2 linked regions of the Daphnia pulex genome follow. The protein of the gene in region 2 interacts with the protein of the main gene of each other region in a pairwise test. Links are inferred from orthologs where the notes say so. Each region holds a gene or a part of one and is shown on either strand. Other genes may lie near its edges. The genes, in order: guanine nucleotide-binding protein G(o) subunit alpha and G-protein-signaling modulator 2-like.

Evidence for each region.
Region 1: the proteins of G-protein-signaling modulator 2-like (region 2) and guanine nucleotide-binding protein G(o) subunit alpha interact in a two-hybrid assay, tested with the Drosophila melanogaster proteins (3 studies listed by BioGRID, with this or other methods). The link is inferred for Daphnia pulex from reciprocal best matches to the Drosophila melanogaster genes pins and Galphao.

What each region holds. Positions count from the first base shown.
Region 1 is NC_060022.1:883,473-891,829, forward strand, and holds the end of guanine nucleotide-binding protein G(o) subunit alpha, read right to left. Parts: intron 8,211-8,357; exon of another isoform or gene 7,989-8,210; intron 7,788-7,988; exon of another isoform or gene 7,683-7,787; intron 7,500-7,682; exon of another isoform or gene 7,346-7,499; intron 7,073-7,345; coding exon 6,944-7,072; intron 6,867-6,943; coding exon 6,737-6,866; intron 6,659-6,736; coding exon 6,505-6,658; intron 6,431-6,504; coding exon 6,243-6,430; 3' UTR 1,266-6,242; downstream 1-1,265. Other genes in the region: sulfotransferase 1 family member D1-like, read left to right, coding at 1-60. UniProt on the Drosophila melanogaster protein: Guanine nucleotide-binding proteins (G proteins) are involved as modulators or transducers in various transmembrane signaling systems.
Region 2 is NC_060018.1:4,014,226-4,021,177, reverse strand, and holds the end of G-protein-signaling modulator 2-like, read right to left. Parts: coding exon 6,918-6,952; intron 6,828-6,917; coding exon 6,704-6,827; intron 6,514-6,703; coding exon 6,398-6,513; intron 6,267-6,397; coding exon 6,100-6,266; intron 5,964-6,099; coding exon 5,866-5,963; intron 5,776-5,865; coding exon 5,572-5,775; intron 5,330-5,571; coding exon 5,207-5,329; intron 5,021-5,206; coding exon 4,867-5,020; coding exon of another isoform or gene 4,732-4,866; coding exon 4,520-4,731; intron 4,418-4,519; coding exon 4,226-4,417; 3' UTR 3,766-4,225; downstream 1-3,765.

The sequences.
Region 1 (8,357 bases), on a different chromosome or scaffold from region 2:
GATGAGTGGACCGAATCGAATCTTCGTGGGAGTGACATCACCTTCGTAGACAAAATTTGAACAGGGAATTTTCTTCATTCTTTCTTTAAAAAATGTGATGGTTTGATTGGTTTCCTTTTATCGTCCTGTTAAGATTTCTATATTCACATAGATTGTATATTAAATGCAATAAAATTACACGTACCCTGGGAGATTGTAATTATTTTGGGTTCACTTTGTTGGCTGGTTGTCCATCGAATAATAACCGAGCCTTCTTCTTTTATTATACTGCTCACGCCAACATGCATTGGGTTACGGCATTGGCAAGTCATTATGAAGACGTTACTTTGACGTGGCGAGACACCGTGAATAACGACCCGAATCATTGAGAAGAAGCGCTGTCGCACCTTGTTAGCCGAGACGAGTAGAACTCGGATGCGGTAACAAGATTGCAAACGACGTTTTTCGCGTACTATACTCGTCGCTCACGCGGCGGCGGGAACAATTGAAACGGGAAAAAGTCCCCGGCCATTATGGAAAAGCCTTGAGATTCCGTAGTTGAAGTCTCTTCATCACCGTCCTACCTAACGTTGCAAATCTTGATTTTCCAATATCTAGTTTAATCGTAATTATTTAGTTTGATTGAGTTTGATTGAGTTTTTTTAGTTAGAAAAAAATTCGATAATTACAAAAAATGTTTCTAGTCAATTTTCGACTCATTTTCGAAATCTGGCAACTGCAAAAGATTGCAGACTACAATTTAGCAAACGACACATGAAAGTCATGAATCTTTTTTGAATTTTTGGAGTGTGATAAAATACTTGAAATCAGAGATAAAAACTTACAAGGGACTAGTTTGTGCACTTCACAACAAGCATTCTACTATTTTTGCAGGTATGTTTGTTTTCATTTTGTAAACCAGAGTGTGAATTATTTTGTAGTGTAGAATAAGCTGGCATAGGCAGACACAGAAGTAGCTTTTTTTCTTGTCAGACGTCAGGATGAGGCCATTTTATTGGCCGAATTAGAAGAAAATTTAAAAAACAAAATAATCAAGGGATCATTTCAGACATCTTAGAGTTTTCTTGTCCATCCATGTGAACATATCTCTCAATGGTTCTCGTTGGTGAACAACTTAAAACACACATGGTTTTTTTCAATAGATTAATTTAGTTTAAACTAAGTTTGCAATGCTAGTCACATCTTCGATGGTCGATTCCCTAAAAATGTGACCGATGATTGCGTCAGTATTCGAATTGAATAAAGAAGTAAAGTGAAGACGAAACGAGTTTTTTGGAATTACATTAAAACTTTGTTGTTTCGCCATGTACAGAATACACCAACATAAACTTGTTGTTGTTCAGATCGAAACCCACAAATCATATATAAAGATGAATAATAATAATAACCAACTGAAGAATATATGTTGAAGAGGTGTTTTTCTTTTACCATTTTTGGGTATTGGTTGTTTTGTTTTTCTCGATTGAATGAAATGAAACAAACTGAGAGGCGATGCAGGAAAAAACGAAACAAACCAGACGAATGAGAGTGTGAGGAAGGAAGGAGAATCACAAGGAAATGAACGCAAGATAGAGCCGAGAAGAGGGGGGGACAACCTCAATTAAATTCAAGCCGATATATATATTTTTTGGGATAACCAATGTATATATATATACTGAAAAAAAAAAAGAAAAATCAAAACGATCGAAAGGAATATACTTACGAGAGCGAGAGAAAGAGAGGGAATCAATTCGAATTTTGAGGGGTTTCCCGCCTATTTTTGTTGTTGGGTAATAGGGAAGAAGAAGATTTGGCCAACTGCTGTTGATATTAGAGGTTGTCATAATAATAATAAATCAGTTGAGAGGAAAAATGAAGGAAATGGGAAAAAATTCGGCGAGCTAATTTAATTAAGGAGGGCTGCATGACAATTTTGTTGATTTGATTGGCGATTTGGGAAATTGGCGGGGATGAAATAACTAATCTGGAAAATTAGAGCAATACACGCACAGCCTATTTAACGCAACAGAGTACGGAAGGAATAGTAGTCCCGAACGAACATTTTGGTTTTTTTGTTTGTTTTTTTGAAATTTGTCGGTTATAGGATTAAATCTTGTGTGCAATTTTTGTTTTTCTTCTGCTATCTTTGATGTCGTCGTCCAGCAATGATACATTTTCAAACGCAAAAGGGAATCGAAGAAAGCGCTTCTACATGATACAATAAAAATCATCATCACTTGACACGCGAGTCTGGACACATTGAAAAATCGAATTTTAATCGTTTCCTATCAAGGAGGTTGAGGGGCTTAATTAAAAAAAAAAAAAGGAGCCGGGTATTCAAAGCCTAACAATTCAATTTCGAATTATATATCAGCGATTTTAGTTTAGTTTTTTTCTTTTTTTACTTCTCATATTTTATATTGTCTCACGATCTCAAACAAGGGAGGTGGGCGTGGTAAAAGAAATAAGATCAAAAGATTTAAAAAAAAATTTTGACTAGGTGAGATGATTTTGATTTGATTAGAATCAATCTCCGAGTCGCAAAGTGATAGCTGGGAAGGTTTTATGGCGATTACATGACAACGGATACATTTAAAGGAAAATGAGGACAGAGAGAGAAAGTGTATGGAGACAACAGAGAAGGAAAATGGGCCAATTCAAAGAGATAAGGGGGAAAGAAAAATGAGGAAGGTCTTGTTTGAATAAAATGACGACGGAGAGAATGTCGCAATGGTCATTTAAGCATTTCTCCAGTTACCCCTCTCCCCCCTAAAAATTGAGGTGTTACTGATTCCCAGTTTGACTTTTTGACTTCCAACCGCTTTTCAAATAACCCCCTCCCGCAACTCGACAGTAATAACCTCTAGCGGCTATCATACAATTATAAACGCACAAAAGCATCTACAAAGTTATCAAAATCCAAATGTTTAGTTTGGTTGGTAATTTTTCTTTTCCAAAAAGAAAAAAATAACACACGGGGAAATAATTAGAAACGAAAAAAAAAAAACATTTTCTTGTGCCTTGCCAATTGCTTTGAATGCGGACGATGATTTACGAAGAGAGAGAGAGAGAGCCGAAATATGTTGCACCTTGACTCGAGTTGAATTTCACACCAACTTTTTGTCCAGGTGTTGTTTGTGATCAATTTTTGTGCGCCTTTTTTTATTCTTTTTTTTAATTTCTATTCCTCAAAATTGGTTAAGATTATCATTTTGGAGATTGGATGCTTGTTGTTGCCTTGTTTTCTTTTACGTTTCGGTCGGGAATTGAGTTCGAATCGAAAAGCCGCGCGGGAAAAAAACAAGGTGTGGTGTGGTGGAGGGGTGCAGCGGCATCATCGCCAGGCGAAATATATATAATTATGTATATAACGATCATTGTTTTGTTTGTTTGTTTGTTTTTGTTGTTTTTTTGCGTATTTTTTAGTTGTTTTTTTTGTTTTTGTTTTTGTTTTTTTTAGTTTAGTTTTCGGTTTATATCTTTTCTTCTTTCGTGTCAAATAATAAGCGCTATCAAAGTAGCTACGTAGATTGGGCGCGTTGAAACGCCGTGGAAGGAGAAGAATGAAGAAGAAAGGAGAAGAACATCATTGGGGATTATAATAGAGTATAATAACAAACACACACACACACGCACGACGGTTTTGGGTATCGAAAGTGAAGGTGTCTCTCGTCTAATCAAAGCTTTTTTTTTTCATGTCATTTTAAAAATCAAAAGCTCTGAAAGTTTTTTTCTCTTTTCGCTCTTGTTATTAAACAGATTTTTTTCTTTCCCCCAAGCCCAGCAGGAAAATTAAAAAAAAAGAAAAAATTTCTTGTTTCGCCCCTATCTTCTTTTTCTCAAATCTAAACATATTGATTGTATCGAATGGAACGATGGAATCCACATATATAAAGAACAAATATACGAGCGTGCTGGAGAGCGAGCGAACAACAAAAAACCAAAAGAAAATGAAATAAAAAAGGTAAAATCTAATTCATCCGAGAAATTCCCCGTTTTCCGCCCAAGAAGGATATTAGATTAGCCCGGGTGTTTAGCTTTTTCTAACTATAAAAAAAAAAACAGAAACAGGAAGGAGAGACAGGAGGGTAAAAAAAAAAAAATGAAATAACAAAGTGTGTGTCGGGATGGCAGCAGCAGCAACATTATAGTTATATATCCGCTGGGTTTTTGGGTGTGCGGTTTTTTGTGTAAATTAATTTTTGTTTTTTGTCTCTCTCTCTCTCACTCTGGAGAGGTTTGGACCCTTGCCAAATCTATTTAGTAATTTCTTATTTTTTTTTTTTTTTAGTATCCCGCTCTTGAAGCAAAGAAGGAAATGAGAGGAAACAAAAGAGCCACGTTTTGCGCGCAAACGGCCAAGGAAACAAACAAATTGAACGAAAATGTTGGACAAATTGGCAAACGAGAGACACACACACAAGAAATCAAATAAGTGCAGCGTGTGCTGTAACGTCCAGCTAAGAGAAGAAAAACACAAGGTGAAAGAGAGAGAGGCAAGTTGTTTTACAGCGACTTTGATGGGCACAATAACGACGATGAGGAAAAACGGCGAGCAATAGAAGAGACGAGGGTAGATGGATGATTATACAGAAACGGACGTGACAATCCTCATTGGTCATGTCCGCGGTAAGAAAGTAAGAAAAAGTTTCCCATTCCTTTTTGTTACGCACGTCTCGAAATATTCAATTGCCCTTTTTTTCTTTCTTCTTAAATCCTCCCTGGGGTTAGTTGATGCCGACGTGATGCCACTGAAATTGACTAGAACCAATCAAACAAATGCCCGTATTCCAGAAAAGAAAAAAAAGGTTGCCATTCTTATCGACATTGTCAAATAACGACGTCGAGAGAGAGAGACCGACCGATTCGATAGGGAAAATTGATGGCGTATCGGTCCCGAGGGGGAAATTTGAAAAACAAACTTTTTCAGCCATTTCCCGATCAAAGTAAAAACGACATTTTCAAATTGCGCTACGGCGACGCTTTTTTGTTCAATAGATCAAAAGAACGTCGATACATAAAACAAATCGAAATTGCACCGTGAGTCTTTTCTTTCTAGTTATTTGTTCGGGCTAATTTCTCTCTCTCTCTCGAATTCTCTTTGACATTTTGGATTTCTTTTGATGTCGACATTCTGTTTTTCTTTTTTTTAGAAAATGGCACAGCAAAACGACGACTCTCTCGAAATATCAAAAGGTAAACGAATTAAATTTGTTCTTCCTTCCGTCGGTTTCGTTCAGTCTCTCTCGTCTCGGTGACGCCGGTGCGTTCGAAAATTAAAAAAAGGGACACGACGAGATAACAAAAGAAATTTGCAAAAAAGCGTGCGGAGAGAAATCAAAAAGAGCTTTGAAATCAAAGATTGGAATGTCATCTCCTTTACACACACACACACACAGCACGCGCGCATTTTTTTTTGCTTCCTCTTATTTTTTCAGGGGACTTGGCTGCTGGCCTCTCGACATTGTGGGAGAGTTATTTCGTCTTTTACATAATCATAATAATAAGTTCCCCCCGCCCGCCCCTTTTTGTTAAATCGATTCATCTTCCCGTGAATTCTCTCTCTCTCTTTTGTGCAATTCTCCTCGTGTGCGGGAGCGGCTGTCGTCGACTTTCATCTCTTCTTTTATATGTGGAGAGAGAGAGGCTGTTGGGGCAGTGGGTGGGGCATTGACTAGCGTGCGCTTTTTTGAGACAGGGAGAACAGTTGGGTCTGATGATGACGCGATTGACGTAAACGACGTGAGCCGACGACATCCGGTTCAGACAAGGAAGGAAGATTTTTTCCCTTCCGAACGCGGGAGTGTTTTTGAGTGGGCAAGAGAGAGAGAGAGAGATAGAAGAAAAAAGAAACAAACAACAGGCAGAAAGGAATAATTTAGAAACCCAAAAAAAATGACAGTCGACAAGAGTCGGGAGAGATGAGCTGCTCTTTTCTTGTTGCGCTTTTGGTAAGAAAACGGTTCACTATATTTTTTCAGTCTGGGATTATTTTACTGTGCGATGACGTCATTTTGGTGTGTGCGCGCGATTTTCCTGTTTCCGTTTTTTGTTCCGGCCGGGAGCAAAAAGAGGTGGGGCTGGACGAGGAGGGAAATTTCCCCACACAATTGTTAATCCCACCCCAAAATTAAGAGAGAGAGAAAACGAAATTTCTTCGAATTTGAACCCAAAGTGAAGAATACAAAATCAAAGGGGGGAATAAAAGTGGATGATGAATTTTTAAAAAGTTCAATGTATAAAGTTTGGGGGGCTGGCAGAGCTCAGTAGAGGCCGCATCCTCGTAGATTGTTGGCGATGATGACGTCGGTGACGGCGTCGAACACGAACTGGATGTTGGTCGTGTCCGTGGCGCACGTCATGTGGCAGTAGATCTCCTTGGTCGTTGATTTGTTCTTGGCTTCGAACTGGGCCTGGATGTAGGCCGCCGCTTCGCCGTACTCTTGCGCACCTGCAACAATTTCCCGTTCGTTTTTGTTTTAATTGATTAAATTATTTGGGGTTGGTTGGGAAATAATATTTTACCTGTGTACTCTGGGAAGCAGATGGTCAGAGGAGATTTTTTGATTTTCTCTTCAAAGAGATCCTTTTTGTTGAGGAAGAGGATGATGGACGTGTCCGTGAACCATTTGTTGTTGCAAATCGAATCAAACAGTTTCAAACTCTCTTGCATTCGGTTCTGTCGAAAATCAATTCGATTCATTATTTTTTAAATTCAAATAATAAATTGATTGAGTTGTATTTAAGAAATTCTTACGGTGGTCTCGTCTTCATGTAGCACTTGATCGTACTCGGACATGGCCACGCAAAAGATGATGGCCGTCACGTCCTCGAAGCAATGGATCCACTTCTTCCGCTCGGAGCGCTGCCCTCCGACGTCGAACAATCTGATGACGAAGAAATCAATCAATGAAATATTACAGTCACAATCTCACAGTCAGAACTCGACCGATGCGGCACTCACTTGAAATTGAGGTTTTTGAATGAAAAGTGGACTTCGACGATGCCGGTAGTTTTGACTCGCGTTCGCAGAATATCCTGTTCAGTCGGCTGGTAATCCTTGGCTCCCAATCGGTCCAAATCGTCTAAAAAGCTAAAAACAGGAAATAATAATACAAAGATCTTGGATTATTTCCTGGAAAAGAAGACGAAAGGAAGGATCAAGCCGTCCACCATAAAGATACCAAGCTAGATATGTAATTATTATGTATGACACGAAAATGTGAATGGTAAGGGGGACTCTCGAATGATTATTTATTCCCTCTTGGCTTTCAAGAGGGTTCTGGAGGGTCTTATTGTGGCCGTTTCGGTCGTTCGATCGGAAACTGCTTTTATCGTTTTTACTTTTTTATCGGTTTGGATTTGGGGGTCGATTTAAAAAAAATAATTTCTATCGATATCTAAGCATTTCTAATTAGAATATTAGTGTCGTCTGCTTCCACGTTTTGAAAGAGGGAACAAAAGATGTAAGATGTAAGATTAGAGATTACAAAGAAAATGAAACGATCACTTTTCTGCAGGTAAATATAAAAATAATAATACAAATAGAATAATAATGGGTGCTTAAATAGAAGAGAAATCTGTTCCAAATTTGTGAAATTGTAATTCCTGGTTAGCATTTGTCATGTAAGATGTAAGCCCTCTGTCGAAGTGGCAATTTTCTTTGCACTGTTCAGATTTTTGTTTGTTTTACTTTTGTGCAGATTTGAGGCCTTCACCAGCCATCATAACCACAAGATCATAAGCAAGTTTTGATTTATCTCGTGTTGGACCTATCATCACTCAACAATTTCAGCATCAACGCTTAGGTAATGATTTCAAGGGTTATTACTTTACTCCTGTGTCCTGCTACGTATTTGAATGATGCATGGCTTGCATTCAGTGTATTATATGGAAACCTTAGATTCCCCCATGAAATTAAGATTTACCCAGTGTCTCATTTTCAACTTTTCTTTGTTTGTTTTTTATTTCAATATTTTTTCGTAACCAATTTTAAATTTATGATTTAGATAAACAGCATCTCGTTGAGATGGATTGGAGAAACTACTGATGTCACCAGAGTTACGGATCTCTGCTTCCCCTTTCTTTTAATGTCCTCGTGTACACCCATGTGACTGTGGGTGTGTTCACGAGGACGCCCTTTTTCTTATTATCCTGCCTGGCGGATTCAACTTTTCTGCGGATGGATGGAGCGTTCGTGGATGCCTGGCTGTATCTTCCCAGGCTTAAAGGTAGGACAAACTTATCTCTATTCTTCCTTTTAGACCATTTGGTGGCGTTGGTTATAAATCGTTGCTTGGTGGGCTACGCAGCTTACGATTATTCGTCTGAGTTAGGCGATTGACTTAACTTTTTTTTTCTCTTGCCGTTTCTGTTGA
Region 2 (6,952 bases):
AAGCGGTATAGAGGGGGATAACAGCTCTCGTCTGTTGCCAGGCGGATGATGTAGGCTACATGGGTATATCCGGTTTTCCACTCTAAATTTCGTAACATAAACCTTCGCAGCGTATCCGTGTAAAAGGAAAGAATTCTATATAGGTAGGAAAAAAAAATCACTTTATTACGGCAACAATAATAAATACGGCCGGACTGTTGGCAGTTCAAGAATGGAGTGACCTTCTCCCGACCGGGGCAGTCATCCCCCTATCGACCGGCACCCATATGGGATATTAGGATAGCTCCCTAGAGTCTCCCAGAATTTTCGACTCGATGAGTTTGCATTATGGAAAGGATGCCGACGATATTGCTGATTTGTTATTGATTACTATCTGTATGCTCGAGTTGGGTAGACTCCATGGCCGGGCAGTGGACCGACGGTTAACTCGGCTCTCTCAAGACTCCTTGGCTTCCACACTCGCCCGGTTAACGATTTCAATTAGAATACAGGATCGACTAATTCGCCAAGTTCGCCGAGCGCAGGCTATATATAAGACATTCCATTATGGTTTCCTCGCTTGACTTCGCCTCCTTCTCTCCTTCTCGTTGACTGAATTGACTCTCATTAAGACCTGCTGGCCGGGGCACGAGGCAACCAGGACACGGCGCTACCTGATACTGCCAGCGCAGCGATGAGGGTCGCAACAGGATGGAGGATTGACTCGTCCCCCCCGTGTGTCTCGCCTGGGAAATAATAATGAGACTGGCCGGCAACTCGTTGCTCGGGAGACAGAATTTATCCCTCATTAACTCATTGGCTGCCCAAATTCTCGATTACCTCACGTGATTACAAATTGAGACCTAAAGGGATCCGATCCCTAGTCAAGATGAACAATAACAAAGCTCGCAGGATAAAGAAGAAGAAGAAGAAAAAGAAAAGGAGAGAGAAGCCAAACGGGAAGGCAAGTCGAAGTAATCTTGGAAATCAACAAAGTGCACTAACGAAAGTGCAACAAATCCGGCGAAGGGCTAGGACGTGGAATAAGACGAGATAAAACGAGGAAGGAAGGAAAAAAAGAAGAAGCCGGTGGACACTATAAACAAAATTAATGGAGAAATAAAAGGAAATAAAAAAGATCCTTTCTCAAAAGAAGATACGCAGACACACAAGAACATATACGTATACCTGGAAGATAAAGAACGGAGAGAGTATGGTAAGGTATAGGAGTGTATATATATACAACATTCAGGAGTCAAAAGAGTGAAAGGGGTGGATCGATCACGAACGGTGCCCATCTCCGGCACGGCCTCGACTACGTCTCAGAGTCTAAACTTGACCCAAGTGCGTCACATTAAAACAGAATCGGTGAGATCCATTTTTTTTCTGTCCAATAAGTCTTATGTCTCTAAGAAAAGCAAACAGGGAGAGAAGAAAAGAAAAATGGACCAACCCGAGGGGGGTGTAGAATGGATTGGATTCCAAGAATTGAGGGAAGAATACGTAAGGAAGAAGAAGTAAATCAAATCAAATCAAAGAAAAACGATGTCCAATATCGCCACGGTCAGCTATCCCCCCCAGAAAAAGAAAAATGGTCCAACAAATCAAAGAAAAGCAGAATACGACTACGCACTACACCAGGTTCGACGTTTCAAGTCGAGTGTGAACGAAATGGAAAAACCAAATAAACGCCAAAGCAAAGCAAAAAAGAATATTAGGAAGGCCGGGGGTGAGGGTCCGTGAAAAGTTCCGAGATCGATGGCAATCACGTAAAGATGCGCCAAATAAGGCGGACTCTCCTTGCCGATGACTCCCGCAGCAGTCCGAGAGATATATAAAAATAAAATAAAAGGTCGATGTCGAAAGAAACACGACAACAAAGTGGCGGGGGGAGAACCTGAGGAACCAGACCGAGACTGCTACATTCAGTCAGACAGTATTTGAGAAAGGAAACAAATAAAACGGAGAGAGAGAGAAAGGAAAAGCAAGTAGATCTAGTGAACTTTGCGAACCGAAGCGACGGACATGATTCTGCCATCGAATCATGGAGAATTTTACAAGGATAAAAAGAGGGAAATGTAAAAAGAATCACGCAATCGCTTTCTGTTTATTTTGTTTGTTTGCTCTAGTCGTCGACTCGCTTCAATCGGATTCGGAAAAAAAAAAGAAAAAAGTTTTTTAATAGAACCGGGCGACGTGTGCAAAAAGAAAAGACAGAAAACCGGATACCCATCTGCGCTGTATCGGTATCTTGATACCCCTCCTATCCGGCATTATACGGAACATCCAGCTCGTCTTTTGAATCGTAAGGCGATTTGTCAAATAAAATCAAGAGGGACGACCAAAATTGTACAAGGTCTAAGCGACTGGGACGTGACGGAAGCGCGCGGATGACGTCGGCAACCCATCGGGGGCTCGTTCCGCCTTCGACCAACGCCCAGACTGCAATAATTCATCTCGTCTTGGATCGTTAACAAACAGCCCAGCGACTCGTGGAGAAATTACACGCCATTTTCTTTACGACGCACCAAGTCACCGCAGTCGTCGACTGTCGAGTCGTCAAGGAACTTGAGAATGTCACGCCATCATTTCTCTTTGTGTCGGACGCCGTACCAATCTACTAATGGTTATGAGGACTGAAATGAAAGTCAAACCCAATTTTGAGCTCCATCATAATTTGTACATCATCGTTGACAGCAACGAAAAAAAAAAGAAAAATAAGAAAACATGTACGTTTTACAAGTGGGGGGGGGCACACGGAGGAGATGGAAAGAACGTTGGGGGAAGGATTGGTGCAGTCGCCACGGCAGTTTCATTTTATCGTGAAAACAGAAACTGTTGCACATACAAGACAAGAGCCGTTCAACCTAAAAAAGACTGGAGGAGTTTGTTCCGGGCAAGATGTGTAGCCTAAGAGAGGTGTGTATAAGAAAAGCAACGAGGCGGAGAGGGAGGTAAGACCTAAAATCGGCGCGATACACACACTGACATACACGTCCATTTAGGGAATATTATTATTATTATTTTTTTGTAACTTTTATCTTTATGTTCTTCTCGTAAAATGCCCACCTGGACCCAACAGTTGGAATCAAGACAATTGGGGCGAGAGAAATACAGAAGAGGAGGAAGAAAGAGAAGTTGGACTGAGAACGACGCAGCTGGTTTGGATTACACATGGCGGCACGTCTAAATGTTGTATCAACACAACAAAAAAGAAATGGGCAACAAGAATTCAAGTTGAACATTTCAATAAAGGAGGAGGGGTGGGCCTTGGAAGTTTGGGAGGGAACAGAATCGGTGCCGTGCAACAAGACAGACCCAAGAAAATAATAAAAGTTTGCGCACGCGTATGGAAGATGTTGAATATCAAACAGGATTCATTTTACTCGCGTGAAAAATAGAACAAAGTGCTCTCGTTCCAATCCCCTTTTGGCCCTCGCTTTTTATGTTGGGAGGAAACAAAAACACGACTCGTTTACCCCCCACCCCCATAGGCATCTGCATTTACATCTCTTTCACGTCAGTCCTCGACAAAAAAAGAAACATTTTCATTTCGCTACAATAATAAAACGAAAATATCCCGAAGGAAAGGAGCCCACCAAGCACCAAAGTGAAAAGATAACGAGAAATCGAATTTTGTTTTTTTCCCCTTCTTGCTCACACTGTCGCCAACTTAATCTCATCTCTAAAAACTTCCATGACAAACAATTTCGTTTTCACGACAACAATGATGACTTTCCACTGCAGATCCAAGAAAGAAAAAAAAAAGATGGGGACAAAAATAAATAAAACGAGGAATAGGCCTATTTATTGTCTTCTAACTGCCTTTCACGTTGGGAGTAGGAACAATGCTCTGCCAACGGAATAGAAAGAGAAGACAAGAACTGCCATGTTCGGAAAAAAAAAGGGACTCCTTTGAACTCGTGTGCAACCATGCGGGAACGGACAATCAACCCCCCCTTCCCCTTGTTTGTTCCCCAAAGGAGGAATGGTGAGATTTAATTTTCGCGATTTCTACTTCCAGGAGGAGGCAGAGAGCGAATGAAATGGATGTGAAGTTGGAAGAGTTTTTTTGGAAAAAAAAACTCGGTCAAAAGTAAAAGAAAAAGGGAATGGCTATTTTTTGAAACGAATAAAAATGGAGAGAGGGTATTGATAGAGACTGTCAACATACATTTCGATCATGGATGAGAGCTGATGGCGAGGAGGGGTAAAACATTCCGAGAGGTTAGGGATACCGTTCCGTCTAGGAGGAAGTGGCGGCAGCTCCGTTGGCAGCGATGAGAGGTGAAGGATCTTCGGCTCTTTGATCCTCGAGTCGACCCGATTGGAGTCGCATTATCAACGAGAAAAAGTCTTCGTCGGGCATGGTGGGCCCCCTGTGCCGCCGAGGCGATGTATCCGGCAAGGCGCTGCGCTGATCTTCCAGCCTCGTACCCTACACGATGAAAAAAATAAAAAGTAAAAAATCATTTTAAAAAGTCGTTCGTGAAAAAGAAACGAGTACAAATTCGGCCAAAAAGGTGGAAGAATATCTAACCTGACACCGCATCAACATTTCGAAGAAATTCTCATCGGGCAATGCGGCTGCATCCTCGCCGGCTGGCTCCACAGACAGCCGACGTAAAATGTCTGGATTGGCGTTGTTCAGGCCGGGTAGTCGCGGTAGTGAAGCTCTCTGCTCATCCATCCGGCGACTCTGCATGCCGGCGATCAGGTCCATTAAATCTTCCTTCAATCTCGACGGGCTCTCTATCGAAACAATATGCGAAAAAAGAGGAAAATAAAAACACACTCCCTCGTAGAAGCAGGCAAACGAAACAAAACTCGGGGCGACGCCAGGAGCGCGTATCCCCCCTCCCTGGTTTCCCTGGAAAAACAACTCACCGTGAATATTCGACGGGAGTGTACTTGCTTGTTGGTTCTCCTTGTTGTCTACGATTGCCAACGAGCAACGCTGATCGTCCATGCGTTTCGATTGGAATTGAGTGACCAAATTAAAAAAGGATTCCTCTTCATCCATGGCGTCGTCTCCGTTGGCCTATCGTATTGCAAAACGAAATGGATTCCGGTTAGCAACAGGGTAGTAACGGACAGAAATAGAGAGACAAAAACAACAAGCGAGACTATGAGATGTGACAGTTGTGATAGACTGGCAGCGAAAGAAGCAGACAGACGAACGAGCCATCCGATAGAGCCGGATCAAGAGAGGATTGTTGAAACTTACAAACGGGGGCAGCATATCACGTCTAACCAACGGGTGACCAGCGAGCGGTCTAGGCCACACAGGATCCATTTCATGCAGTTCCCGGCGTCCCTTGCTATGAAGTTGTTTCACATCCGGCGTCAGCTGGATTAATCACAGTGCAAGCAACCGAAATTGAAACGGACCAACGAAAACAATGATGACGGTAATAAAAATAATAATAAAATCGCCATGCTGCAGATTTTGCCAAGAGAAAAAATAGAAGTTTTGGAAGGTCTCCGGTAGATTTCCCACCTTCCCAAGTTTGAACGCGAGGGTGCGGTATGCGAGAAAATAGAAGCCAAGAATAATAACAAAGCGACAAAAGCGGACGAACACAAACAAACCTTGAGCAAATCCATGCGCTCCATGCTTAACCTGCGCCTTGCCTTGCTATCTGCTCCGTAGAGTCCGTCGTCGTCGGCCTCGGAAGCGTGACCTTTCGTTGAGTTTCCCATGCCGCCGCAACCACCGTCGCCGTCAACGCCCAATGTGCGTCTCAAGTCGGCCAAGTTCATCTGTGCTGTCGCCTCGCCGGTCGGATCGCCAATCTTAGAGATGGAGAAAAGAGGGTAACGGTCATTTTACGCCATAACCATTAGTCCATTAGTAGGTCGGTTGATTGGTTCGTGTTGGCTCACCTCGCGGGATATTTCAAGGTGCCGTTGTGCGTAGTGCAGGGCTTTCTCGTGATTTCCCATGGCAGCGTGTGCATTCCCCAAGCTCCAGCAAGCACGTCCTATTGGTGACGGTCACGAAACAAACCGGAACAATGTTAATGGCGATCACAGGGAAGAAAGATTTTCCAAATTTAAAAGAACAAACAAAAAACAACCCGAAAGAAAATGAGCACCGAGTTCTCAGCACCGACTAACCTTCTCCAACTTTATCCATTAGCTCTTCAGCAATACGCAAGTGCCGCAGATGGTAATCGATGGCTGTGGGATAATCGCGAAGCAGAGTATACGTATTTCCCAGGCTGTAACAGGCTTGCGCTTCGACGGCTCGATCTCCGAGATCCTGTGCAAGTAGGAGTGTTTTCCTGAGGGAGAGGGGGGTAAATTGAATTTGAATGGGATTTCTTTAAAGTTTAAAGACGCTCGACGATTCCGTCCTTTTCATACGCAAATTACGGAAACTTTCGATCAGTAAAAAGGAAGTCGCTGTATTTACTTGTAATGTTCTGCAGCCGTTTCGAACTCTCCGAGGAAGATGTGCGCATTTCCCAGGTTGCTGTGGGCTCTCCTTTCGGCTGCTTTGTCCCCAAATTCTCGAGCAATATTCAGTCGCTAGAAGCACAATTGAAAAAAGAAAGTGGGCGATGAAAGAAGATTTTTCGCTCACGTAAACCACGAATAATTTGTCCCGATTGTATCGATTTTAATCTCCCTAAGCCTTCCCTATTAAACCTTCGTTTTTTTTACAACCCATACACACGATATCATAAGATATACATTTTTTATAGCCAAAAACGCTCACCTCTTGATGATATTTTATGGCTTGCGTAAAGCTACCCAAGAGATAATGGGTATTGCCCAAGTTCCCGCATGCCCGACCTTGGGCAGCACGATCGGTTATTTCTCTCATGAGTTCAAGATTTTCTCTATTAAGACGAAAACCAAAAGATAATGTTAATCAGAACGGGTAAGTAAAATCCAATCTCAACTTCCTCTTGGAAAAAATAAAAACTCACTCGTAATAATTTACGGCTGTTAGCAGGCAGTTCCG